Cricetulus griseus: one gene and its partners. The protein of the gene in region 1 interacts with the protein of each later gene in a pairwise test. Links are inferred from orthologs where the notes say so. Each region holds a gene or a part of one and is shown in the gene's direction. Other genes may lie near its edges.

Region 1 (3,500 bases):
GGCTTTATTGCTATAGGTTCAAGCCTGGGCTATAAGATGAGTTCTGGGCTAGTTACTGAGTGAGATGTTGACTCTGAGAAACAAAACCAAAACCAAACCAAAACAAAACAAAACAAAAATGAGAGCAACAAAGAGTGTGGGTTTCACAGAGTGGTTAGTTTTGAGTTTCTGTTGAGCACACTGAGACTGTGGGCTAGCTCAGCCCTCTCTCTTCTCTGGGTGGGTGCAGGAGGTAGAAGCTGTGGAGAATCTGCACTGTGGGTGGAGAGAACATCCTGGAGATAGGGAGATATCAGGAATTAAGCTGTACTCTTATCAGCTAGGAACAGTGAGGGAACAGGGGGTGTGTCCGTTAGTAGAGCCTGGTGTTATATTCAGACTCCTACGCAGTGAGATGGCTATCTGCCCAGTGCTGAGCTCACACTGTGTTCAATTACCTGCTGCTTGTTTATTTCTTGGCCTGGAGACAGATGATGGTTATGGATTAACTTAGATTCCAGCTTAATAAATTAGGGCAAATTGTGTGTGTGTGTGTGTGTGTGTGTGTGTGTGTGTGTGTGTGTGTGTGTGTGTGTGTGTTTGAGTTTGAATGTGGGCACAGGTGCATGTATGTGCACATGTATGTGGAGGACAGAAGTTGATATTTGATATTTACTCCAATATCCCTTTACCTTATTATTATTATTTTTTTGACACAGGGTTTCTCACTGAATCTACACTTTACTGATTGGGCTAGACAGGCTGGCTAGCAAGTCCCTGGCATCCTCCTGTCTTCTACCTCCCCTTACCCTATGCTGGGTTTGCAGATTCATTCTGTGGGTCCCCAGCTTTTGCATGGGTTCTGGGTATCAGAACTAGCTCTTCATGCTTGCATGGCAAGCACTTGACTGATGGAGTTCTCTCACCAATCCTGGGAAGTAAATTGGTCCAACAGTCTGAAGGACACTAGACTCTGGCTCGACAAATCTTGTTCTCCCAATCCTATTGACCCGACAAGCCAAGGTTCTTGTGTTTTTGTACATCCTAAGTTCTTGTGTTTGGGAGCAGGCTGCCCTTTCCCCTCCTGGCCCACAGCTGGTGTCTCAGTGTTTGGTGTGAGTGGCTAGTGCCTTTGCTTCCCCATCAGAAGCGAAGCCAGTGATACATCATTTGCTGGGTTCTCTCAAGTCAAAACCTTGGCTAGCGCTTGTCCGTATTTAATGCTTGGGAAGGAGAGGATGTTTTTCTTCCTGCCAACTCATCAGAAACATAAAACTGGCATGATTTTCCCAGTTCAGCAGACTTCTGGAATTGGCCTGCCTCGGAAGAGTGGGGTGGGCTCCGAGATTGTGGTGCATATGGCCTGCTCTCATTTAACCGATTCATTAGTAGCAGAGCAGGGTTAATGGATGAAATCTGTTCCCCCATTCTCTGCAGAAGGAAATCGAAGCTCTCCAATCAAGGATGTCTGCGCTGGAGGCAAAAGAACAACAGCTGAGCCAAGAGTTGGAGGATCAGGAGACACTGCTCCAGTGGCAGGGCTGTGATCTGATGCCACTGGTGGCCCAGCTGTCCCCAGGACAGCTGCAGGAAGTCAGCAAGGCCTTGGGAGAGACATTGACCTCTGCCAGCCAGGCTCCTTTCTGTGTGGAGCCACCTGAAACCCTTAGGAGGTATTGGTGATTTTCTAACTGATTTTCCAGCGTTCCCTCTTTCACCTGTTTATTGAGATGGCTTTGCTGCCCATTCATTGTTCACAGGTGCTTCTCAGGTGGTTTGTTTGCTTAGTGGAAGTGCTGGTGGTGTTGAGATGTAAGATTCTTCACTGCGGGGTCAGTTCTGAGCACTGGGAGTTATTTGGCATCCAGTCCACCCAATCCCTAGCTGCCAGCACTGTCCCCTCTCCAATAGGCAGTTTCCAAAATTCCAAGGGGCTGGCTTGTCTCTCCTTTCCCCTTCCCTCCCAAATTTGGGGTCAGTTGGATAGAGATTTTGACATTGGCTTTTGCTGAAGACAATTATCTGGAAAGAGATTTCACTTCTAAGAGGTAGGGTGTGACATCAGAAGGGTGTGACTTGGGGCATAGGGCATGGCATTGGAAGAATGTGACCTGGGGGATGGGATGTGACATTGAAAGAGTGTGACTTGGGGGAAAGGGCATGGCATTGGAAGAGTGTGACTTGGGGGAAAGGGCATGGCATTGGAAGAGTGTGACTTGGGGGGTAGGGCATGGCGTTGGAAGAGTGTGACTTGGGGGGTAGGCTGTGGCATCGGAAGAGTCTGAGCTGGCTGGGGAGATTTTCAGTTACAAAAGTATTTACTGCATGAGCGCAAGGACCTGATCTTGGATCCCCAGAACCCACATAGAAATCTGGGTGCAGTGTAACCCCATTTCTGAGAATGCAGACTCAGGATCCCTAAGGCTTGCTGGCTAGCCAGTTTAGCTGAATTAATGAGCTCCAGGTTCAGTGACCCTATATTACAAAGATGAGACAGAATGTGATTGAGGAAGATATATGACCCTCCCTCTGCACGCGCACACACACACACACACACACACACACACACACACACACACACACCCAAAAAACCAAAACAAAAAACCCAACCAACCAGCCAACCAACCAACCAAATTAAAAACTCCCAAACCAAACCAAACCAAACAAAAACTCCAAACAAATGAACAAATAAACCAAGAGGGCAACATAAGCAGTATTTTTTTATCAGGTCACTGGGATGAATGAGCTTGTGTTGCTGCTGTTGCTGGCTAAGCAATGTCAAATGCCTGGTCCTGGGCAGAGCTACTTTGTGGGTCACATCAATTATGCTGTCTGTTTTACAGACAGTGAAAAGTAGTTTAAGAAGGTTAATAATTTAAAAAATTGATAATCTGCCCAAAGTGTTAATAGGAGAGAAAAACAGATAGACTGCTATTCCTGCTTTCTCAAATGTGGTGTCTCATCTATCACGAAGGGGTCTTTCCTATGTTTTACACTGCAGAGAGCTTGTGAAATACACATATACACATCTGCTAGGTTGTATTTAATTTTTTTAAAGACAGGGTCTCACTATGTACCTCAGGCTGGCTTCTAGTTCTCTGTATATCTCAGGCTAGCCTTGAACTAGGGATCCTCCTGTTTCTGCCCTCTAAGTTGTTGCTCTTAAGGGGTTTCAATCTCATTTTGGAGACACATGGAAGACACACTTACACATGTGGGAAAGGAGTGCTTGTGGATGGGCAGGGATGTGCAGTCAGGGCTTAGGACTCTGCTGGGCCACTGTGCTCCCTACCTGTGGGGATCCTCATTCTGTGATTTCTGGCTGACTGTTTGGGGAGACTCTTTAGTTTCAGCTAGCCTCACTGTGGCTGTCTGTCCTCCTGTTTCCACCTCTTGAGTTCTGGGACTCATCACCACACCTGGCTAGATCAACATGGCAGCTGTTGTCACTCACAAACTCGACACCATCAATGGAAGCCAGCTTCAGACTCCAGGTGCTTTCTGGCATCAGTCAAGTGCAA
Region 2 (3,500 bases), on another chromosome or scaffold:
TAGTAAATTGTGACACTGTGATTCATTGCTTAAGTGATTTCTTTTTCTTTGCTAATCAAAACTACTATTATAATAATTATCTGTTTGAGACATAATTTAGCTTTTGAAGATAAGCCCTTATCTCTCATGGATGTTGCCTCTGAAAATTGAAATGGTTAATTCCTTTTAAATTCAGCATTTATTTATGTCTCTTTGAAAGAATAGGCCTTCCTAACATTTTTATTGTCAATAGCATGTTTCTCATTTTTTCCTGTCACTCATACTTCATAGCTGTATTTCTTTTTATTAGCATGTATTATTGTATGTAATTTTCATAATACCATGGTTTTTATTATGACAGTCTGATACGTGAATATGGTGCTCATATTTACTTCTCGCATCTTTTCATGACCCTTGCCGATTCCCTTCTTCTTTCAAAGTAGTCCCCAGTAAGGGTCAAGTCTCAAATCTATATTTATTGCTAATTATACATTCATTTGAGTTTTTCTAATTTATCTACTTATGTATGCATTGTTTCTATTTAGAATATGAAAATACACTTTTAACTGAATAGTATACTAAATGGCCCAAAGATGTGTTCAGTTCCTTTGAATGCCTGCTAGGGATTACATAAGTATTAAGTTGATGTAAATATCAAATACTCATATTTTGATTTATGTCCCTTATATCACTTATCAGACAAAAATCATTCACCTTATTTATTTCAACTTATAGTTTAGCTGTTATTTCTTACTGTTACATGTTAACTTTAGTTTACCTAGAATTCATTTTTGTATTATTAGACCATTTTCTTTGTCTTATTGATAACTATTCCCATCTTAAACGAAGTATAAGTTTTGTCATGGATTTTATTGGTTTATGTCCTCCTTGATAGCATCATTAGAACAAATAGCTAATTTTTACACACTGAAAGAATTCATCAAATATTTAGTTTTATACCCCCAGCTTAGCCAGCATTAATCTCAACTACTAAAAATAATTACTCCTCAAACCTTAAAACCTAATTTTCAGGTTTCTTTTTAAATCTGTTTTACAGAAAAAAAAGAAAAATCAAGCAAGCCTAAGGATCCACCTCCTTTTGAAGGGATGGAGGTAAGCCTGTATGAATTCTGATCTACTACACAAAACACTACAGACATCACCTTTACTTTCAGTAATGCATATGGTCATGTTCAGATGTGAGATCTTAAATGGTTCAGTTTAGAGATACCTTAAAAAGGCAGAAAAATCAATGCTTACTTTATAAAATAAAAAATTGTTTGTAGTGCTTTTTAACATATTTTAATTTTATTAAAATAAGTGGCAAAAATATTCTAAACATTTCAAAATAAAATGTAAAGTATTTAATCTTTTATTATAGGTACAAATAGCTTTGTATTACATTTAAAATACATTGAGAGACAAATTGTAGAGTTTATATATGTTCCACTTTATTGTGCTTATAATTTAATATTAGCATTCTAGTACACAAAGGGCTAAAATTTCCATCCACATAAAGATAACTATTATCCATTTTTTGGGAATTGTTCCAAGTAATATATTGATCACAAAATAGCATCCATCTGGCAGTGTTGCTGTCTCTCAGAGCTGCTGAGTGCTTCCTGCCTGTGTTTCAGATTGATGAAGTGGCCAACATTAACGACATGGACGAGTACATTGAGCTGTTGTATGAAGATATTCCAGACAAGGTTCGGGGATCTGCCTTGATCCTACAGCTGGCTCGAAATCCTGATAACTTGGAAGAACTACTATTAAATGGTGAATTTTCTATCTACATATTAAAAATAGAAAATTATGTAAAATAAACCTACCCTTAAGTTTGTATTTAGATCTTAAATATTTTATGTATACAAATGCCCATATACATGTTTCCAAGTCTTAAATACTTATAGCCTGAATTTTCTTTTTTCTTCTATATATTAGGAATACTTTTAATCTACTACTTATCTTCCTCTCCCTCTCTCTTTCCATGGTAGGTCTATTATCCACTCTTTTATTTTCACCCTGTTTGTGTTTTTGAATCTCAAGAGTTTGTTGGAATTATCATATAACTAGCTCACCATGCATTCTTGAATCCATGTGTTTAGTCTATTTAACATTGATGTGATGCCCACAAGGGAGGTTTTGTCATTTTGTATTTTCTTTGAATAACAAAACTTTTAACATGTTTCTATATTTTTAAATTATGAAAATTTTTATCATGATTCTTAACCTTTCTTTTACTGTATTTCTGTTTTCTTCTATACTGGGTATTTTCTAGTTTATCATTTTAAGCTAATTTTTGATAATTTGGGTTTTTTTTTGAGAAATTATCTTAGTGATGTCCTGACATTATAATTGACAATTTCAAACAATTCTTGTTCAAATTATAACCAACTTAATTTTAACAGTATACAGAAATTTGTTCCAATATACCCTTTTACTCTTTTCATTCCTCACTCATTTGTAATAATACTAATGATATATTTCTTGCATATGTGTGCTGGGGGTTTGTGCATCTTTGTATGCATGTTCACAAGTGCATAAGCACACTTGTTTGTAGAAGTATACATTCTCCTATGTTTGTGTATTGGCCTAGGGCTTGGAGCAATCCCTGTCTACCTTATTCTCAGTTGAGCCCAGAGCTTGAGGATATGACTAGTTTAGCTAGTTAGCTTGCCCCAGTGATCAACTTACAGGCAGGTGGCTGAGGGGGTCCCTGTAGGTGTCAGTTCAGGCAGTGATCTTCGAAGATGTGAGAATAAAAACTCAGTTCGGATTGGCTTCATCGACTTGGATCAAACGTGGGGAGTCTGATGCCAGGCAGTTCATTGTCAGCGTATTTAAAACACACATTATAATTTGGTCAAAAGTTTTCAGGCAACAATTAGTCCCGTTCCAGATGCACAATAAAGCTTAGGGTCTGTCTCTATAGAAACTCTTCTACAGATACAAGTGACCATGAGGATGACAGATACAAGTGGCCATCAGGGTGGTTTCCATAGCTAAATAGTCTAGAATTCAGTGTAGTCTCTGGCCGAGGTAGCAAAGAGGTCAGCAGTACATGTGACAGCTCTCCTGGGGATGGCTTCCATTAACTGGGAGCTAAACGTCTAGGGAGGGAAGAGGCTAGGATGAACATTCTGGGTGAGGTCTGCCTGCATAGCACAAGGTGGGTGAGGTCAGCACCAGGTGGCCAGCACTCACATGAATGCTTTGTGGGAGTGGCATCCCATTTGTAATTCTGATGCAGACATATAATTCCCACAGCAAGCTAGCTAGCTACAGTAGACATCTGCAGAGCTCTGCATTCAGCTAAGAATGTGTGCCCCGAGGAATAAGGTGGCAAACAATTGAGAAAGACTCCTAGTGTCAGCCTCTGGCCTCTGTGTGTATGTGTGCTCACACATGGGCAAACACGCAGGAACCACAAGTACATACTTATGCAAAAAGAAAAAGCCTCCTAATAACTCACTTAAAACTGACCTCATATTTACTTAAATCTCCAAATATTCATTAAT
Region 3 (3,500 bases), on another chromosome or scaffold:
TTTGGGATTAAAGGCATGCATCACCACCCATCTATCATTTTTATATGTGTGTATGTGCGTAAGGCTGCCTGTCAGTGCCAAGGGTATTGGATTCCCCTGGAGCTGGAATTACAGACAGTTGTGAGCCACAGGTGTATGTGCTGGGAACCAAATCCAAATCCTCTGCAAAGGCAGTAAAGGCCCTTAACCTCTGAGCCATCTCTCTAATCTCCAGTATATTAGATCTTAAATGTATTTATTCACACCTTGGAGTCATACCTCTCCTTCTGTTCTGGGTTCCAGAGATCAAACCCAGGTTGTCAAGCTTGTGAAGCAAGCATTTTGTCTGCTGAACCATCTCACCTTGCTGGTCCTAGTTGTTCCTTAGCATACTCTCAATGTTACCAAGTTTTCTTTACCTTTTATGACATTGACACTGTAACTACATCTTTAGTTTGTTTACTATGTCTGTGTAGGCACACATATGCCAAGGATTAAACTCGGGTAGCTAACCTTAGCAGCAGGCATCTTTACCTATTGAGCCATCATCTTTCTGGTTGAAGACTACATATGTTTTATGTAATCTTTCAATTTGATTTTGTGTTTCCTCATGAATCAGTGTCTAGGAAGATAGTTCAGTCTGTAAAGTGTTTGCCTTGCAAGCAGAAAGACCCTAGCACCCATGTAGAAATGCCAGTTGTTGTTGTACATGCTTGTGGTCCTAATAGTGGGGAGATGGAAACAGGTAGATCCTGAGGCCATGTTTCTCAGACAGTCTGGCCTAATTTATGATTTCCAGGCCAGTGAGAAACCTGTCTCAAAGGAGGTGGACTGCATTCCTGAGAATTACAGCCAAGGTTATCCTGTAGACACACATACATATATACACACACACATGCACTCACACATGGACTCAATTGAACAAATAAATACAAATACATAGACACACATAAAAATGAAGACCTACCTTGCTATCATTCTGTCTTTCTTTGTCTCTGCTGAGCCTCAGACCTGAGGCCTGCAAGTATTAGATAAACCCTCTACCACTGAGCTATATCTGCTGGCCACTTCCAATTTTTAAAAATGACATAGAATTATTTATAAATATTATGTACAATATAATTTGTTGTCTATATGATGCATTATGAATTACGAGTTACTTTGCATGTTTTCTTTTTGAATTATTAAAAAAGAAATAACTGAACGGTTTGTATTTTCAGGGATACCTGTCTTTCCTGGTACCATCTTCCTTAGTAGATCATTTATATCTCTTGCCTGATGAGCACCTTTTGACAGAGGATGAAACAACCATATCAGATGGTAATAATAATTGTTCTGTCTATAGTTGACCCCTTTCCTACATGAACCTTATGTTTTATTTCAGATGGCCACAAAAATAATTAGTCACCACTGTGATCTGTGTTTATGATTTTACCTTACTGAAGTTTTTTTTTTTTTTTAAGCTAGAAAGGTGTAAACACCTATGCTATGGGAAAGGGATCCCTCCCATCAAGCCATTGATGCCTCTTTTAATGTATTATTCAACAGACCTTCATGGCTTCAGACATCAGTGTTAACATTCTCTTCCCTTGTAGATGCTGATGTGGCCCGGGATGTCATATGTCTTATAAAATGCCTCCGGATGATTGGAGAGTCAGTTACCATGGATATGGCAGTTTTGATGGAAACCAGTTGTTACAACTTACAGTCTCCAGAAAAGGCTGCAGAGCAAATTTTGGAAGATTTGATCACTATTGATGTGTAAGGAGAATTTAGGGTAAAGTGCATTTCCTAATGGAATTCAGCAGTGTTTGTTATCACATATTTTTTAATATATGGTCAAGTTTATAAAAAGTCATGGTTTAATGTTAAAGTGATTTTTCTTGAGTCTACATAGATCTGTGTATGTGTGAGAGACAGAGACAGAGAGAGAGGTATGCTGGGGAAGACCTTTGCATTCTAGGCAAGTGATCTGCCACTAAACTACACCACAGCCTCTGTTTTAGATGTTATGGGGCAAAGTTAGCATATTTATTCAGGTCTGGAAAACAAACTCATAAAGTATACTTCTTAAAGCCCTTAATTGAGCTGGATATTTTTAAAAATGCAAATGTTTTCCTTGTGTTCATTTTGTGGGTCATTCCTAAGAAGTTGAAGGTGGTTTTATGTGGACTCTGAGTATCTTGTGCCTGAATAGTTGTCTCCACTACTTCACTAAGGGGAGCACACATATAACCTGCCTTGAATGTTGTCAATAGTAACAGGAATTTTCTAATTGTCATGTAGAGAAAATGTGATGGAAGACATTTGTAGTAAACTGCAAGAGATCAGAAACCCTGTCCATGCCATTGGACTTCTTATACGGGAAATGGATTATGAAACAGAAGTCGAAATGGAAAAGGGATTTGATCCAGGTAAACAACAAAGCAAGTGTGCTTTGTATAAAACAATGATCTGGGGATTGGAGGGATGGCTCAGTGGTTAAGAGCACGTACTGTTTTTCCAAAGGAATTGAGTTCACCTCCCAACACCCACATCAGGCAACTCAAAGCCTAGGGGATCTGAGTCTCTGGTCTGTGGACACTTGCACTCATGTGCACATACCCACATAGAGATAGACACACATATACATAGTTAAAAATAATAATAAAAATAGTTAAAAATAATAATAAAAATTTAAGTGACATGTTTAATTCCATTTTTCCTTTTTAGATTATTGTATTTATTTATTTTATGTATGTGCATGCACACATATGCCATGGTGCACATGCAGAGGTGCACAGAAGACAACTTGTGGGTCAGCTTTTTCTGCTGCATGGGTCCCTGGGAATGAGCTCAGCTTATCAGGCTTAGCAGCAGGTTCCTTTACCTGTTGAGCCATCTTGCCAGCCTTTAACTTCATTTTTTATGTTACAGCTCAACCTTTGAATGTTCGAATGAATCTTTCCCAGCTCTATGGTAGTAGCACAGCAGGGTATATTGTGTGCAGAGGTGTGTATAAAATTGCCAGCACTCGTTTCCTGATCTGCCGAGACCTCTTAATCTTACAGCAGCTGTTAACAAGGCTAGGAGATGCAGTAAGTACTACTTGTGGGAAAACTTGTAGACTCTCAAACCTGGAGAGCCAGAGACTTGTCTGTATTCATTTGTCTGTATTAGGCATAGCCTAACTGGGGGTTCTACAAATTCTAGGTGAAAGAAGTAGTATTGGTTACTTTTATTATTGCCATGACAAGATTCCTGACAAAAGCAGCTTAAGAAAGGAAGGGTTTGTCTTGACTTGCTGTTTGAAGGTATAGACTATTGTGACTTCAGAAGAGTGAGGTGTACTGCCTCCATAGTCAGGTCCCAGAGAGAAATGCTGACATTCAGCTAGCTCACTTTATGTGCAGTGTTGCAGTTTAATAAGAAACATTTTAAATGTAGATTGTAAGCATGGGGATTAGAGAAAGAGAGGTGCTTAGAAAGAAAGACACCCAAGAGTGTGGGTGTAAACTTTTCTAAGAGAGGGTTAATAGTTA
Region 4 (4,131 bases), on another chromosome or scaffold:
GGACAAATGCTCTTAATTGCCGAGTCATCTCTCCAGCCCCGTGTGTGGTTTGTTTTCAAGACAGGCTCTCACTTTGTAGACCAGGTTAGCCTTCAGCGTACAAGAATCCTTCTGCCTCAACCATCCTACTGTGTGGGAGGTTGGACACAAACTAATTTTCCACTCATTTATTTATTATTTATTTATTCTGAAACTGGGTCTAAAGCTGTACCTCGGGCTGTACAGGAACTCTCTTAAGTAGCCCAATTGACCTTGTACTTCCTGAGATCTTCCTGCCTTGGAGTTACAAAGCAGGTGTTAACCGTGTGAACCACCCCTGCTGACTCTTAGAATCATTTTGTATCCCTCTTACACTTTCAGGATACTCAGTTTCTATCAAATGAAACCCTGGGAAAAGCTTCTGGGCTCTGACTCCCATTTCTCAGTTCCTGGACTCTGCCACAGCCTCCCGTAACGAATAGAACCAACCAACTGAAAACGACCACTTGGCTTCCTTCACCCAAGTGTCTTGAGAAGCATCCCATTTCATCGTCTGTATTGATAGGACGACCATGGTGTCTTCAGCGTGGTCCCAAAGGCCCAACCCCACCCCACCCCCGCCGCCGAGGTTTACAGCTTTCTCTCTCTCTCTGAACATCGGTCCCAAGCAACACTTCTAGTCTGAAAAATCCTTGCAATTTTGTTTCTCTCTCGAAACATCCTTGGGACAACTCCCTTAGGAGCCGGAGGGCCATCCTTTCTTCTGGAGGGATGCGAGGGAGTGCTGCTCACTGAAGTTACTGTCTTGGGACCACAAAGAACTAGATAGTAAGATCAGGGCAGGGTGCCACATTTCTCCGGACTTTCCGCTGAGCTATGCAGTCCGCCTTTACCAGAGCCACTGCGGTGGGCAGCTTGCAGGGCGCGCCCATCCCATCTCCAATTCAGGGCACCTCAGACATCCCAATTACCGTTAAGTCCCAAAACTTCTTAGAGCACAAAAACCTCTCTCAGGAACAGAGGATAGGAATCTCGTGCGAGGTCACTTTCCATTAAAAATAAATACAATCACACCCACACGAAAGGTACCCACTAAACCTCCCACAGTATCCACCCATGCCTAACTTCATATTGCAGCGTGGACAATAGAGAACTACAACTCCCAAAAAGGACTGCGCTCGCCACTGGCTCACAGACCAATGGTCGGCTGGCACGTGATCGGCGGATCTAATCAGCGGCAGGCTGGAGAGGCTTTGTCTGCGACCAGGGGCTCCCGCCTATCTCCCGCCCCCGGCTGCGCGAACGCGCGCCCCGCCCTGCGCGCCTTCCCTCCTGCGCTCGCCGGCCTCTTCTGCCTCTTAGAACCTTCCTGCGGTCGTGCTCGCATCTCTCTGCTGCAGCCTCCGGAGCCACGTTCCATCCCTTCAGCCTGAGACCAGCCAAAAAAAAAAAAAAAAAAAAAAAAAAGAACCAATTATCTTTTCTTGCTCGGTACCTACCTTGAAGCCAGCACAAATTTATTACAGTAAACCGTAGCCATGAGGGAAATCGTGCACATCCAGGCCGGCCAATGTGGCAACCAGATCGGTGCTAAGGTAAGAATTTTTAAATTGGTACCGGATACGCGTGAGGATGAGAAATCCAGGTTAATCATGATTAATGTTACCGGGTGTTAGCATTCTCCCTCCGCCGGCTTTGGCCCCTCAAAGTTCTGCGCGAACAATTATAACCCATATTTGTAGCTTGCGTTCTGAGAAATATTTATCTTGGCACATTTTCCGAAAGCCATTAAAAGAGACGCCTGGGTTTAGGGGACGGAGAGTCTGAGGAGGGACTGGAGTGCTTATCTAAAAGAGGGGATTTCTAACGGTTCGAGAACGGGAGAGGAGAGATGCGGAAACGATCCGAGACAAAGCCGAAGCGAGGTTTTCCCCTTGCGCCACCCCCACCCAGCCTGGAGGGCCTTAGCGGAGCAGGACTGGCGGGGGCAGGGGAGAGGTTGGGCGGGCAGCTGCAGAGGTCTCCGGGCCGCATCACCGCTCGACAAAGGCTTGGAGACCCTCGCGATCTCGCCATCCCCTGGCTCGCTTTTAGGTGGATGGTGATGATTCCGTGCGGGGGGCTCCTTTTACTTCATTGCCGTTAAGAAATCTTAGGGTGTGACCTGATGGGAAAGTGAGAGGTTTGTGTGTCTATAAGAGGTCCCTCGGGACTATGTGTGTGTTTGGGGGAAAGCTATTTAGGGAAGAGAAGGTAGCAAAAGCAAAAAAAAAAAAATCTGAGGCCATGGTTTTCTCTTTTTTTTTTGCGCGCAATTACAATGTAGCGGGGGATGGGTGGAGAGGAGGAAGTGCGGCCGCTAGATTGTAGCCGAAGGGTGGGACCCTTTGGGGGCGGGGCTAGCGCCCCTGGCGCGCAGGGACAATGCAGCCCTTGCTGGCGGGGGCGCGCTGGCCCCGCCCCTCGTGCCAGGCCCCGCCCACGCTGCTCCCGCCTTTGTGGGCTGCTGGAAGAGCGGCCCGCCACCGCAGTCACGTGGAACGCGTAAGGGGTGGGCGACTGCAGTGGCCGCACCTTCCTACCCCATCCCTCTTTTGTGCTGGCCTGGAGGGGCGGTGCCCACCCTGAAGCGCTTGGCTGGGTGCTGAGCCGAGGGGGCGGATGGCAGTTCAGTCAGCCCATATGGGTGCTTGCAACCCTCAGCCCCTTGAACTGTCCATCACTTGACCAGGGCCACAAAGGTGGCGACCTTCCCCGGTTGGAGGTTCGGTCGTGGAGGCTCGGCAGGCAGATAACGGAATTGCAGTATCAACCCGTCCGCCTCGTTTGAGCACGTCTAGAGTTGAAATGCGGGCGGGGAGGCATCCCTTAGGACTTCAGCCATTGAGGCCTGGCTCATTGCTCATTGCTCTGTCTAGTTCTGGGAGGTGATCAGCGATGAACACGGCATCGACCCCACCGGCACCTACCATGGAGACAGCGACCTGCAGCTGGACCGAATCTCTGTGTACTACAATGAAGCCACAGGTGAGGGAGGGAATCCAGCTTCTTTTTTCTCTGTTAACACTTATCCCTGGTCTTTTTAAACCCTGCGCCCTTCTGTTGAGACAGGGTCTCGTTATGCAGCCATGGCTGCCCTGGAACTTACCTCCCTAATGCTGCTTTTAAAGGCGGCCGCACCACGCCCTGTTTTCCCACGTTAAGTGCCTGTTAACCCGGTTGCTGGGGTCTCACCCTTTTCCATTAGACACCCACCATAAGTGGGCCAAAGATTAGCTCTGCTGCCGCCGGGTGGCAGTGCCTGGAATGGCAGTTTAGTGGTTTGTGGTATTTCCCACCCCAGATTTCATCCTCGCTGCAGAGGGCTCTGACAGTTCTACTTGAATCCCTGTAGGTGGCAAGTATGTCCCTCGGGCCATATTGGTGGATCTAGAACCCGGGACCATGGACTCCGTTCGATCAGGTCCTTTTGGCCAGATCTTCAGACCAGACAACTTTGTTTTCGGTGAGTTACATGGAATGAATTCCTTTGTACCCAAGGGCATGATTCCAGAGGTGAAAGGTGAAGATTAGTAATGATAATGACGTAATTTTTTTCCCTTCTCACCACATTCCAGGTCAGTCTGGGGCAGGCAACAACTGGGCTAAGGGTCACTACACGGAGGGAGCTGAGCTGGTTGACTCTGTCCTGGACGTGGTGCGGAAGGAGGCAGAGAGCTGTGACTGCCTGCAGGGCTTCCAGCTGACCCACTCGCTGGGTGGAGGTACCGGTTCTGGTATGGGCACCCTGCTCATCAGCAAGATCCGAGAAGAATATCCCGACCGAATCATGAATACCTTCAGTGTGGTACCCTCACCCAAAGTGTCTGACACCGTGGTGGAGCCCTACAATGCCACCCTGTCTGTCCATCAGCTGGTGGAGAACACCGACGAGACCTACTGCATCGACAACGAGGCCCTGTACGACATCTGCTTCCGCACTCTCAAGCTCACCACGCCGACCTATGGGGACCTCAACCACCTCGTCTCGGCCACCATGAGCGGGGTCACCACCTGCCTCCGCTTCCCAGGCCAGCTCAATGCCGACCTCCGCAAGTTGGCGGTCAACATGGTCCCCTTCCCACGTCTCCACTTCTTCATGCCTGGCTTTGC
Region 5 (3,500 bases), about 13 Mb from region 1:
ACGCAGCACATCCAATGCCGGCCGCTGCACTGACTAACAGGTAAGAAACTTACAATTTCAGTAGAGTTTAGTTTTTCTTGTTTTATTTTCCGTGCCTCATGTCAGTGTTGTCCTTGTTCTGGGTTAGGATTTTTAATGAATTTTGTAGACGTTCTGTAGGAAGAATAGCTGCCCAAACTCATTGAGTAAGTGAGTATTTGGTACTCATAGTTTTTTTTTTTTCCTTATTAAACTCATTGAGTAAGTGAGTATTTGGTACTCATAGTATTTTTTTTTTCTTATTAGACTGATAAAATTCAGTTCAATATCAGTTTCAGTAACATAATGTTAAAATACATTCTGTGTAGAAAATGTCAGTCCCGATCTGTGGTATCTGTTTTTAAATGTTAGTTTTTCTTCATCCTTCTTTCAGCATGTGTGTATCTTACTCTGCAAAGACATTATTGTGACAGTCATGTGATACTGGTTCTGCAAGATTTAGGAGCACAGTTTTGATATTCTCTAATCAGAGATTTTGATGAAGTAAGGGATAGGTGATTATTACATATGCTTTATTGCAAACACATAAATTGTGTTTCTTAAGTTTGTGCCTATTTAACTTGACAGTGCATTCCTTTTTAGTTGCATACACATGTATAGGCAAAAAGAATAATTTGTACATAATGAAGTGTCTTTGATAAAACTGAGTTCGTTAAATACCTACTGAAGGGACTGCCTTTCGTATCACCTGAAAAGGCTGCAGTAGAAGTAAGGATTGCAATGGTTTTTCAGTGCCTCGGGACTTGGATTACTGTCCGACCAACAGAGACAAATGTTTATCCAGCAGCAGCAATTCCAGCAGCTGTTAAACTCCCAGCAGCTCACACCGGTAAGTTCTCTGTTTTGAAAGTGTGTGTGTGTGTGTGTGTGTGTGTGTGTGTGTGTGTGTGTGTGTGTGTGTGTGTCTGTTGTTGTAGACTAATAAATGTTGATTATGGTGTAGGCTCCTCCATTGTGAATATGTATCCATAAAGTTGTCCTGCCCTTTGATTGTTTTACAAATGTTAGAACATGTATTGCGGTGCTAACTAAGCTCTGGGGATTGGAATTTGAGCAGTATTTTCCTGGTAGTTCACTTTAAGTGATGGTAGTAAGGGACGCAAGTGAGATGTGATGAGGGCATCAAATGGTCCAAGGATAAAGTAAGGTGAGGGCCAATTTATTTCTTTTGTGGTAATGGGAGGAGAACCCAGGGCCTCACATGATAGGTTGGCCTGACTAGCATTCTACCATGGCATTCCATCACCAGTTCCAGTTTGAGATAGGCTTGTCCAGTCTTCTTGGGAGATGGCATTTGAACCATTCTGTCACATAGCTCTAATAGTTAAATCAGTTGTGCTGATCTTGCTTCATTCATGCCCTAGTTTTCTTTCTTTCTTTTAAAGGATTCATCGGAGAATGTTGAACTTGAACAATGATTAATGATAGTGATCAAGGGTTTTTAGAAAGGGTTTTGGGAGGGAAGCAAGATGTGCTCAATAGTAGAAATGGGAATCACTAGCAGGACAGTTGGTATCCTGATGTAGTGCCATCTCTGGTTAGGTAACTGTAGAATTGTAGTATGTTTGAATGATAATCAAAAAGCAAAAGAGGAACACTGAACAGTTGGATGTTGACCTTTACAGACATACAGAGGAACCAAAGGGAAATAGTTTTCCTGAGAAATAGTATTTCTATTATCACGTTCAGTTCATCCTCCCGACCCATCTGTTAATTCCTTTATCTGCAAATCAAAAATAGCAAAAAATGTGCATTTGTACTGGATTACAACACTGTGTAACTATTTATTATTTTCATTATTTTCTTTGTATTTGTAACTATTTATATATTTTCATTGTGTCCTGGTAATGATTTTAAAGTATATGGGAGAGTATACAAGCTAAATACAGACACTATGCCCTGTGTGTGTGTGTGTGTGTGTGTGTGTGTGTGTGTGTGTGTGTGTGTGTGTGTGTGTGTGTGCGTGCTAGGATATTCATATGTATCACTGGTTTGCTTTGAATTCATGTCCTCCAGCCTCAGTCCCCTCAAGTGCTGGGATTTCAGGCATCTCAGCAACTTAGCTTTAACTGTGTCCTAAAAATGTAAGATGAAGTATTCTTCTGATAGTGTATGGGATAGGGTAGCACACACCTATAATTCTGGCACTTGGGAGTTGAAGGCCATACTAACTATATGAGACTGTCTCAAAAAGCCAAAACCTCAGCCTCTTGTTTGCCTTCTATCACCACTGCCATTTGTCCCTGCATGGGAGGTAATAGACTGGTAAGTCGAGTCATTGTCCTGTGACATCGTGACTTACCAGTCACATACGGGCAGTTGGTCTTCTCTCCACCTGCTATGACGTCACGGTCCTACCTAGCTAGTCCTTTTTTGTTTCCCATTTGGGCTTCAAGCTCTTTTCTTCAGCCTTCTTACCTAAAAGTTGAGTTCAGCAATGTCCTTCACTCTCAGATGTTTGTTTCAGTTTGGTCCATGTATAGTTGCCTTCATCTTCAGATTAGAATTCTGTCCAGAGCATCCCACTTTGGATCCCCCACTTACCACATAGCGCACTTGACATGAAGGGCATTTAAACATGTCCCAGCCTGAGCTACCATGCTTGACTGCTCTCCTTTTCCCAACTCCATCCTTTTAGGTGCCTAAGTCAAAACTTGTAGTCTATCTTTCTTTCCTTTTTTTGTTTTTTAACTACATACTACAGTGACTTCATTTACTAGGTGTAGTAGCACACAGCTTTAATTTGAGCATCAGGGACAGAGGTAGGCACCCTGCATAATGAGACCATGTCTGGTCCCACTCCCGAAAGAAAGAAAGGAAGGAAGCTGCCTCCTCTGCTCAAAACTTTCTCTTGACTTTCCAGCTTCCCTCTCATGGTCTAGGTGGGAGCCATGTGCTCTTTCCCCTGCTTACCTGCCTGCCATTGGGCTCTTGTGGGTCCAGAATCTTTGTGCACAAGCTCTCCCTGAGATCCTGGAAATGCCCTCCTTCCTGCTTATCCTCTTTGCTAATGCGGTACCCTCCAAGTCTTTGTCCTGTGTTGACAGAGTAGTTGAATGACTACTTACTGCATTCTCATGGACTTTGTCTACTCTTAGCAATAATCACACTGTATCATTCTTTCTCATTCCCTAGGCAGGCAGGCAACTACCACCATGTATCCCAAATAGCTAATACAGTGCCTATTAGTCAGCACCCAGGAAATCTATCTTGAAAGGAATTTATGCTTGCTGAAAAGAAGAATCCAGAAGTGCAGCAAGAAAACACTTGCTAGGAGTAGAATATTCATTTGGAATATTTCTGTCAGGGCCCCTCCTTGAGAGGCATCTATCTGTCTGGTCCGGCAGACTTATCGGACCGGTGCTTGGAAGGAGGTGTGTGAGTTGAGGAGAGAATTAGACAAGAAGAGTCAGGAGGGAACATCCAGTGACTACTGTGATAATCAGCCCCAAGTTTATTAC
Region 6 (3,500 bases), on another chromosome or scaffold:
ACCAGCAGAGAAAGCTGATAAAGAATCAGGAGAACTTACTGAAGGAACAGCTAGAGGCCCACAAAGAACTCCGAGAGTTTACAGACTCTGGTTTCCACGATGTGGTGGCGAATCCTCAGGACACCAAAGGGCCTAAATCCTCCCTTTGTGAGAATAAGGTAACCACAGCAGAAGGAAGGGCAGTGTGGCAAGGAAGGGGGACTCTGTGGAAGAGTGGAGTCAGGAGGAGGCCTGTTTGGGTAGAAAGCAGGGTAAGGCTAACATCCTGCCTGCCCTTCACTGGTCAGAGGCCTCCATTGGCCCCAATAAGCTGATGCCCACACTCTGGTCTGATGTTTGGAATTATAGATGATTTACTTTAAGAGCTGAAGTGTAGTCAGCATCTAGAACAGAGTTCAAGGGGCACAGAAGTCTGTCTGACCACTGGATTCAGTCCTACCAACATGGCATTTCCAAGATATGTGAGATCAATTCAATGTTTGTTTTGGTTCCTTTGGACTGGCCCTAAATGTGTCATCTTTTTTGTTTTATCTGGAAAGTCTACTTCTCCGTTTTTTGAGTTTTTAACCTTTTGAGGCTCCATGAACAAATCTGGGCCCAGTCACCTGCAAGGAAAGCAGCTGCAACAGACAGACAGACAGACAGACAGACAGACAGACAGGCAGGCAGGCAGGCAGGCAGGCTCATGGTACTGACTACACTGTGCAAGCCAGGCCACAGGGACATAGCAGAAAATCAGTGTTTCTCAAGCACTACCAGGTGCCTATGAGGTAAGATAGGTAGAAATTTCTATACTAGTCTGTTCAGAGTTGGGGAATAAATTTGGTGTGAGGTAGAGCACATAGGCAGTTTCAGTTCAGGCTACATGAACAAGGAGAACCAGGAAGTAGCAGAAGTCCAAACAGTGGAGCTTGATCATTGCAGGGGTGTCACATATCCAGGCTGAAAAGCCTGGGTGGCATAGAGACTGGGAAACCAGATAGAAACTATTCCCTTAATCAGTTCCCTTAGTCTAGTGCTGTATATCCACTGGGCTTGGAAAACATTCCTCAAGACCAGATACAGAATCCTAGCAGAAGGTAAAGGGACTAGTGGGTAACAAGACCTTGATTCCAAGCTTGCATCTTCCAAGGACAAAATTCATCTTCACACATTCCCAGCTGGGATGATTTTACCATGAAGAGAGGGGGAGAGGACTGAGGATCAGGATAGTGGGTATACTTGATTTAAAATGATGGTATGGTAGGGAGCCAGGGTGTTCTTGAGACCCACCTACACTGCTCCAAGGAAGAAGATGTATATGCCAGAGTCAGAAACCAGCAGAAACAGAAGCCCTAAAAAAATCACTGAGTATCTGCCCTGGGGAGAGTTTCCCAAAGGAGCAGAGAGCTGACATATACCAGTCCCTGTAGGTTAAGTCAGAGACAGAGGCCTTGTTGGACTGTGGTGTGAATGTACAGTTCTCTCAGGTGAGCACTCATACCTGCCCTAGGAGATGGGGCAGCTGAAAGTACTGAAATGTCTCAGAGTAATAGTGATGTCTCCTGCTCCCCCCCTCCCCAGTCCAAGGTGCTTATGGACCAGCTGCAGGCTCTGCAGGTGCTATATGACACCAGTCAGAGGCAACAGGAGCTGCTGCAGCAGGAGCATGGGCGGCTCATGGAGGAGCGGAAGAGGCTGCAGGCTGAGCTACAGCTCTGCATGGAAGAAATACAGCTGCTCCAAAGTCAGTCCCCCACCATAAAAATGAGTCTTGAGTCCTACAGGAAGACCCCAGGCAGCATGGCCCCCAGCAATGAAAGCTTTAACAGGAGTTATGACAGCACCATCGAGGACAATGAATGCTTTCAAAAGAGTTACGTAAGCTCCCAGGCCAGCAATGACAGCTTCCTCAAGAGCTATGAGAGCAGCGCCAGTTGCAATGAGGCCTATCAGAAGAGTTACCGCTCCAGCAACACAAGTGTTGCCTATAAGAAGAGCTATGGTAGCACTGCTAGCTCTGAAACCTTTCACAAGAGTTATGTTAGTGTTGCTGATGAGGACCCAGCAGAGCCTGGAGACCTAGAGGTAACCATTGTGAGGTGACTGGTCAGAGGGACAGATGGGTTTCTATCTTTGCAAGAAACATCACCAGGGGGAGGGCATAAAAAGAGTGAGATAGGAGTAGGATCAGAGCTGGCCTGGAAGACTTCTTGAAGTATGTGAGGCTTCTGTTTATGGTCGCCCTGCTTCCCCTCGCTCCTGACATAGGTGGCCTGATTTGGACAAAGTCCCCAGGGTTCAGGACTTTGAACAGTCAGGAAATTCTTTCAGGGAAGAAATACAGTCTCCCCTAGGCAGCTCCAGGGATGGGCCTAGCAAGGTGTAGGGCAGAGATCAAATGCTTCTTGGGGTGCTGTCATTGCTCCCCCCACTCTCTGCAGAACTTTGAGGAGACAGTGGCCAAGGTGCTGACCAAGTTGCAGGCTGTGAAGGCCCTGTACCAGGTGAGCCAGGAGGACCACTGCCAGGTGCAGGAGCAGATGAACAGGCTTCTGGTGAAGCAGAGAGAGCTGAGTCACGAGCTGGAGGACTGTGAGAAGGAGTTGAAGGAGTGCCTGGAGAAGCCTGCAGCTTCCCAGAGCGACAAGAATGAGGTAACTGCTGCGGTGGCAGAGCTCCCACTCCGAAGCCCCTAGAACACTTTAGAGAACAAGGTAGGCAGGGCAGTGCAGGAAAACCAAATCCCAGGAGGCCAGACAGTCCGCTGTACCTGATGGACAGTGCTCACTGCTGGCATACTGGTCAACCATTCTACTGTTCTTCCCTTTGCTGCTTCTATTCTCTCTAGTACTTTGTGCCCCCAGAGCACTATAATATTCTTTCATTATTTTGAGTGCATTGTCTTTTTTTTTTTCAACTAGGTTATATGCACTTCAAGGACAGGTTCACTGTCCAGTGGGAGGGTCACTACATATGTGCCTGGGAGAGATAGAACAGACCCAAAGAGTGATGGCCACATGAACCTAGTCTGATTGGTGCTTATTGAACAGACTGTACGCTGCCATAGGCCTAGGAGAACAAAACCTGAGACTAGGGGCAAGGTTATAACTGTGTGTTACCAGGAGGGAGGTGCAGGTGCCCAACCAAGTACATGCACCAATTCCCTAAGTTACTATCTGTTAGAGGAATGGACTGGGTAAAGTAGGAGTTCCTGGAAAAAAGAATTAGATAATAATAAATGCCTGAGGTTCAGACATGGTGGTAGTCCTGTAGTTATTCCCCAGACAGGTCATGATCAAAAACATAATATCTATTGATTTAATACTAGTTTTTTTACCATGCAGACCTTCATTTAACCTCAACTTAGGAGGAAAGCTATCTGCATTAGGTCTCATGGTCTACTTGGAAGCGTTAGCAGGGAGAGTTGCAAGGCAGTGCTCCCTTGAGGGCCTGGGCTGACTGGGTGGGACTGCCATGGATAACTGGAATCCCACCACCCACAGATCAAAGAACTGCAG
Region 7 (4,031 bases), on another chromosome or scaffold:
CCCTCTTTCCCTTTTCCTCCCATGGAGATAGTATTTCTGTCCCATCCTGTTTTGGCCCAGACCCAGCCTAACCAATACCAATAATAAACATTTCATAGATGAGCACTTCATAGGCTGGGCTTTTGAGGTGGAACCTCACTTCTGCCAGTAGCAGTGGTTCCAAGCTCTGGGTTTGTTGGGACAGAAGAGAACTGGGCCTTGTTCTACTAACCTAACTGCCCCTCAGAGGTGGAGCCAGTCATCTGTAGGCCCTAGCACGTCTCCTTGGAGAGGGACCAGAGAGGCTTAGAATGCCACATGAGAGGAATCACCTGAGGTGTCTGCCTTCCTCCTCATGAGTTTGGATTTCCAAAGCCAGAATTTGATTTTTCCACTGGGAAGAACCTGGGATAAAGATCTCAGGACATGGGCATGGAGCAAAGAATGCTTGTGGGGTTCAGCACAATTGCTCATTCACTGGGATGCTGAACCTGTTTTCTGTCTGGACACATCCTGTCTTGGTCCTGGGGGTTGGGGGTGGGGAAGATACTGTAAGGAAACCGGTTAGTCAATGTTGTCTTAATATTGTTGACAATTCTGTAAAGTTCCTTTTTATGACTATTTCTGTTTAAGCTATTTCACCTTTCGTTTTGAAATCCTTCCCTTTTAAGGAGAAAATGTGACATTGTGAAAATGCTTGTAAGAAAGCCCCTCCTCCCCCTTTTCCTTTAAATGACAAATCTAGGTGATTAAGGTTGTGAATTTTTATTTTCGCTTTGTTTTTAATGAGCATTTGTCTTTCAGAATAGGATTGTGTGATAATGTTTAAATGGCGAAAACAAAACATGATTTTGTGCAATTAACAAAGCTACTGCAAGAAAAAGAAAAATAAAACATTTCTTGGTACCACAGCTGTGACACTTGTGCCAGAGCGCTTTGGGGACCTAAAGTAGGAGCCAGAGTGCGTCCATGCGCAGGCCTCCTTCCAGTATCTGCCCAGCTTAGTCCTCCCTCTGCGTGCCTGCTGGGCGGGACGCCACCTGGCGGAACAATACAAGAACGGCGCAATGAGGGACGGCCCCGCTGGCCAATCAGTAAGCAATAGAGCTATGTTGGTTGCCGTAGCGCCCCGCCCCTACTGAGAAACACGGGTTAAAAGAAGGGCGGATGGGCGGCGAAGCGTGGCCAGTCCGCCTCCTGGTGAGGCGGGACCCGGAGATATAGCTGGTTGTGTGAGGCGGAACCGGCTTGGGGGCGGGGCTTGCGCCCAATCTCCCAATCGGTCACGGGAGAAGGAGGGGCGGGCGCGGCGCACCGAGCTCCAGACTACAGACCTCAGAGACGGCGCGCGGCCGCGGCTATGGCGACTGCGATGGCTGCGAGCGCCGCGGAGCGGGCAGTGCTGGTGAGGCGCGGGCGCGGGCGGCGGGCGGCGGCGGCGGGCGGGCGGCGGGCGCGGGCGGCGGGACTGAAGGGTTTGACGCCGCGCTGTCCGCAGGAGGAAGAGTTCCGCTGGTTGCTGAACGCTGAGGTGCACGCCGTGCTAAGACAGCTGCAGGACATCCTCAAGGTAAGGGCAGGTCACTCCCGGCCTGCCATCCCTCTTTCCATCGGTCCCGCAGCGGCGGCTGCTGAGCGTGGTGGCGTTCAGGTACCCACGCTCTCAGAAGAGTTACAGTCCAGACGCAGGCAAGGTGGCGTGTGTGTGCAGCGAGGTCTTAGACCCCAGGGTTAACACCGGGTCTTAAGTGAGACTAACTTTGAAACAGTGACATTTCGTCTATGGGCAGAGTGGTGGTGAGAGCTTGTAATCCCAGCACTCGAGAAGGTGAGGCTAGAGGATCACGAAGCCGTGGGCTTCATCATGAAACACGGTCTCAAAACAAAACTGACAATTCGAGCTCTGAAGGATGCCTTGCCCTGCAGTGTGATCTCAGCCAAGTTACCCACATCTCTGAGCCTGTTCCCTCCCCCTAATCAGGCTCACAGAGCTGTTGTGAAGATGAATAAACCATGTCACAAAATGCCTAGCACTGTGATCTAGGAAAACATGACTGACTACTGCATAATTCCATGCCTCTGCCCCTAACACCGCATCACTGCACTCCAGTTAGCTAGGTAATGTGCCTCTCCATTCTGTGTTCTTACCTGGTCTACTCAGGACCATGAAATGAACAGGTGTGAGCGCACAGAGGCTTGGAGGATTGGTGGGGCAAAGGCAGAGGAGCCAGGTAAGGCCTGTCCTTTTCCTGGCTAATCTGGCAAGGTATCTAGGGCCTTGGAATGGAGTACTGGCCAGACTGAGGTGTTGGGACTGCCCTGTCTTCCACAGGAGGCCTCTCTCCGCTTCACTCTCCCAGGACCCAGCACAGAGGGACCTACCAAACAGGAGAACTTCATCCTAGGCAGCTGTGGGTGAGCTGGGTTGGGCAGGAGCTTTTGGGAGGGTACTCTTGGAGTACCTGGGGGAGGGAATGCTGGTGTTGCTATGAAACAGCCTGCAGGGGGAGGGGGAGGGGAGGGAGTACCCCTCTGACTTCTGTGTGTTATAGCACAGACCAGGTGAAGGGTGTGCTGACTCTGCAAGGGGATGCCCTCAGCCAGGCGGTGAGTTGTGTCTCCACCCCCACCCCCGGGGGCCCTATTCCATAACAGCCCTGCTGGTGATGAGGACAGCCTCTTAGCTCTGCCACCAGCTAGCTGCATGACTATGACAGGAACTTTATCCTCTCTGGAGCTGTTTCCTTGTATGTCTGTCATTTGACAGGCAACCCTCACACTACCTCATGAGATAGGCATATAGTTTGTACGAGGTGCAAGGAGTGGGTGGCTTCACCCTTAGCACAGCCTGGCATCTGTACCCTGTGAAATGTGAGCATTAGCAGCCTAGGCATGCTGGCCCTGGATCAAAGTTGAATTGCTCAACATCTGAGCAATTCAAATCTGGACTATGCAAGGCCTTAAGGCATGGGAACAGTCCCTCCCTGTGGCTCAGTCTTGATTTTACAGAGCTCCCCTCCCCTCTAGACCTTCCCCTTTCTCAACTTCCTTTCCTTTTCGCTGCTCTGTGGTTCTCCTGGGCTTGGGTTCCTATTTCTTGACATTCCTGATCACTTAACTCCAAAGTGCCTGGGGCCTCAGCCACCCATCTACTGCATTCCTGTCAGGAAGCATAGGGGTAGGTACCTCTGCCTGCTTATCACACTCTGGCCCATAGGATGTGAACTTGAAGATGCCTCGGAACAACCAACTGTTACACTTCGCCTTCCGGGAGGACAAGCAATGGAAACTACAACAGGTGAGGATCCCTTGCCCAACCGGAGTCAGGCCCCAGCAAAGGGCTCCCTGGTGTTACCTTTCATGGGGAAGTCTGGCAGTAGGGACTTTGACCACAGCAAACATAGGCTGTTTCCTAGCAGAACTAGGGTGGTGGTGCCTTGGGGCCCTAGAGCCTGCTCCACATGAGGGATGTGAAGCTGGCCCTACCTTAGTGACTTTGGCTATGTAAGGACAGCTAAAGGTTCCTTTGAATATCACTTACTCAAGACTGGCTTTCCATGTATCTGGGATCATACACAGGCCTCTTTCCTACTCATAGACCACAGGAAACACATGGGCATGTATACACACAACCTGGCCTAAAGCTGGTCCATACCCCAGGGCCTTTGTCTATGTGTGTTGCTCTTTCTGAGGCCCCACTCTTTCCCACTCCTGTGGGGTTTTTTGTTTGGTTGGTTTTTTGAGACAGGGTTTCTCTGTATATCCCTAGCTGTCCTGGAACTTTCTCTGGCCTTGAACTCAGAGATCCACCTGCCTCTGCCTCCCGAATGTTGGGATTAAAGGTGTGCTCCACCACCCAATCCTGTGGCCTTTCTTAGTTCTCAGGTCTCTCCCATCCTTGCTTGTTTCCTCCCTTGAGCCCTGCAAGCTTATTACTTTGCGGCTGTACTAGGGGTTGTCTTTTGCAGTGCCAAGAGCCAGTGTGCCTTGGCAGCCAGGATTGTCCGAGGCCTAGCCATCCAGTTTCAAAGACTACAGTTCTGGAGGGTATT

The links.
Region 2: the proteins of Disc1 (region 1) and Kifap3 interact in a two-hybrid assay, tested with the Homo sapiens proteins (2 studies listed by BioGRID and IntAct). The link is inferred for Cricetulus griseus from reciprocal best matches to the Homo sapiens genes DISC1 and KIFAP3.
Region 3: the proteins of Disc1 (region 1) and Nup160 interact in binary tests that used the Homo sapiens proteins (3 or more experiments, as listed by UniProt). The link is inferred for Cricetulus griseus from reciprocal best matches to the Homo sapiens genes DISC1 and NUP160.
Region 4: the proteins of Disc1 (region 1) and Tubb interact in a two-hybrid assay, tested with the Homo sapiens proteins (2 studies listed by BioGRID and IntAct). The link is inferred for Cricetulus griseus from reciprocal best matches to the Homo sapiens genes DISC1 and TUBB.
Region 5: the proteins of Disc1 (region 1) and Mllt10 interact in a two-hybrid assay, tested with the Homo sapiens proteins (2 studies listed by BioGRID and IntAct). The link is inferred for Cricetulus griseus from reciprocal best matches to the Homo sapiens genes DISC1 and MLLT10.
Region 6: the proteins of Disc1 (region 1) and Ccdc136 interact in a two-hybrid assay, tested with the Homo sapiens proteins (2 studies listed by BioGRID and IntAct). The link is inferred for Cricetulus griseus from reciprocal best matches to the Homo sapiens genes DISC1 and CCDC136.
Region 7: the proteins of Disc1 (region 1) and Rogdi interact in a two-hybrid assay, tested with the Homo sapiens proteins (2 studies listed by BioGRID and IntAct). The link is inferred for Cricetulus griseus from reciprocal best matches to the Homo sapiens genes DISC1 and ROGDI.

Annotation. Positions count from the first base shown.
Region 1 is NC_048596.1:201,882,762-201,886,261, forward strand, and holds part of Disc1 (disrupted in schizophrenia 1 protein), read left to right. Parts: intron 1-1,416; coding exon 1,417-1,652; intron 1,653-3,500. UniProt on the Homo sapiens protein: Involved in the regulation of multiple aspects of embryonic and adult neurogenesis. Required for neural progenitor proliferation in the ventrical/subventrical zone during embryonic brain development and in the adult dentate gyrus of the hippocampus.
Region 2 is NC_048598.1:28,515,296-28,518,795, reverse strand, and holds part of Kifap3 (kinesin-associated protein 3), read left to right. Parts: intron 1-1,036; coding exon 1,037-1,092; intron 1,093-1,616; coding exon 1,617-1,758; intron 1,759-3,500. UniProt on the Homo sapiens protein: Involved in tethering the chromosomes to the spindle pole and in chromosome movement. Binds to the tail domain of the KIF3A/KIF3B heterodimer to form a heterotrimeric KIF3 complex and may regulate the membrane binding of this complex.
Region 3 is NC_048599.1:86,065,750-86,069,249, reverse strand, and holds part of Nup160 (nuclear pore complex protein Nup160), read left to right. Parts: intron 1-1,199; coding exon 1,200-1,299; intron 1,300-1,574; coding exon 1,575-1,740; intron 1,741-2,265; coding exon 2,266-2,393; intron 2,394-2,895; coding exon 2,896-3,056; intron 3,057-3,500. UniProt on the Homo sapiens protein: Functions as a component of the nuclear pore complex (NPC). Involved in poly(A)+ RNA transport.
Region 4 is NW_023276806.1:229,740,798-229,744,928, reverse strand, and holds the start of Tubb (tubulin beta-5 chain), read left to right. Parts: upstream 1-1,331; 5' UTR 1,332-1,517; coding exon 1,518-1,574; intron 1,575-2,897; coding exon 2,898-3,006; intron 3,007-3,373; coding exon 3,374-3,484; intron 3,485-3,596; coding exon 3,597-4,131. UniProt on the Homo sapiens protein: Tubulin is the major constituent of microtubules, a cylinder consisting of laterally associated linear protofilaments composed of alpha- and beta-tubulin heterodimers.
Region 5 is NC_048596.1:215,139,754-215,143,253, reverse strand, and holds part of Mllt10 (protein AF-10), read left to right. Parts: coding exon 1-40; intron 41-771; coding exon 772-868; intron 869-3,500. UniProt on the Homo sapiens protein: Probably involved in transcriptional regulation. In vitro or as fusion protein with KMT2A/MLL1 has transactivation activity. Binds to cruciform DNA.
Region 6 is NW_023276806.1:198,400,205-198,403,704, reverse strand, and holds part of Ccdc136 (coiled-coil domain-containing protein 136), read left to right. Parts: coding exon 1-158; intron 159-1,563; coding exon 1,564-2,067; intron 2,068-2,423; coding exon 2,424-2,636; intron 2,637-3,485; coding exon 3,486-3,500. UniProt on the Homo sapiens protein: May play a role in acrosome formation in spermatogenesis and in fertilization.
Region 7 is NC_048600.1:41,686,745-41,690,775, forward strand, and holds the start of Rogdi (protein rogdi homolog), read left to right. Parts: upstream 1-1,231; 5' UTR 1,232-1,339; coding exon 1,340-1,384; intron 1,385-1,477; coding exon 1,478-1,549; intron 1,550-2,311; coding exon 2,312-2,394; intron 2,395-2,531; coding exon 2,532-2,586; intron 2,587-3,196; coding exon 3,197-3,277; intron 3,278-4,031.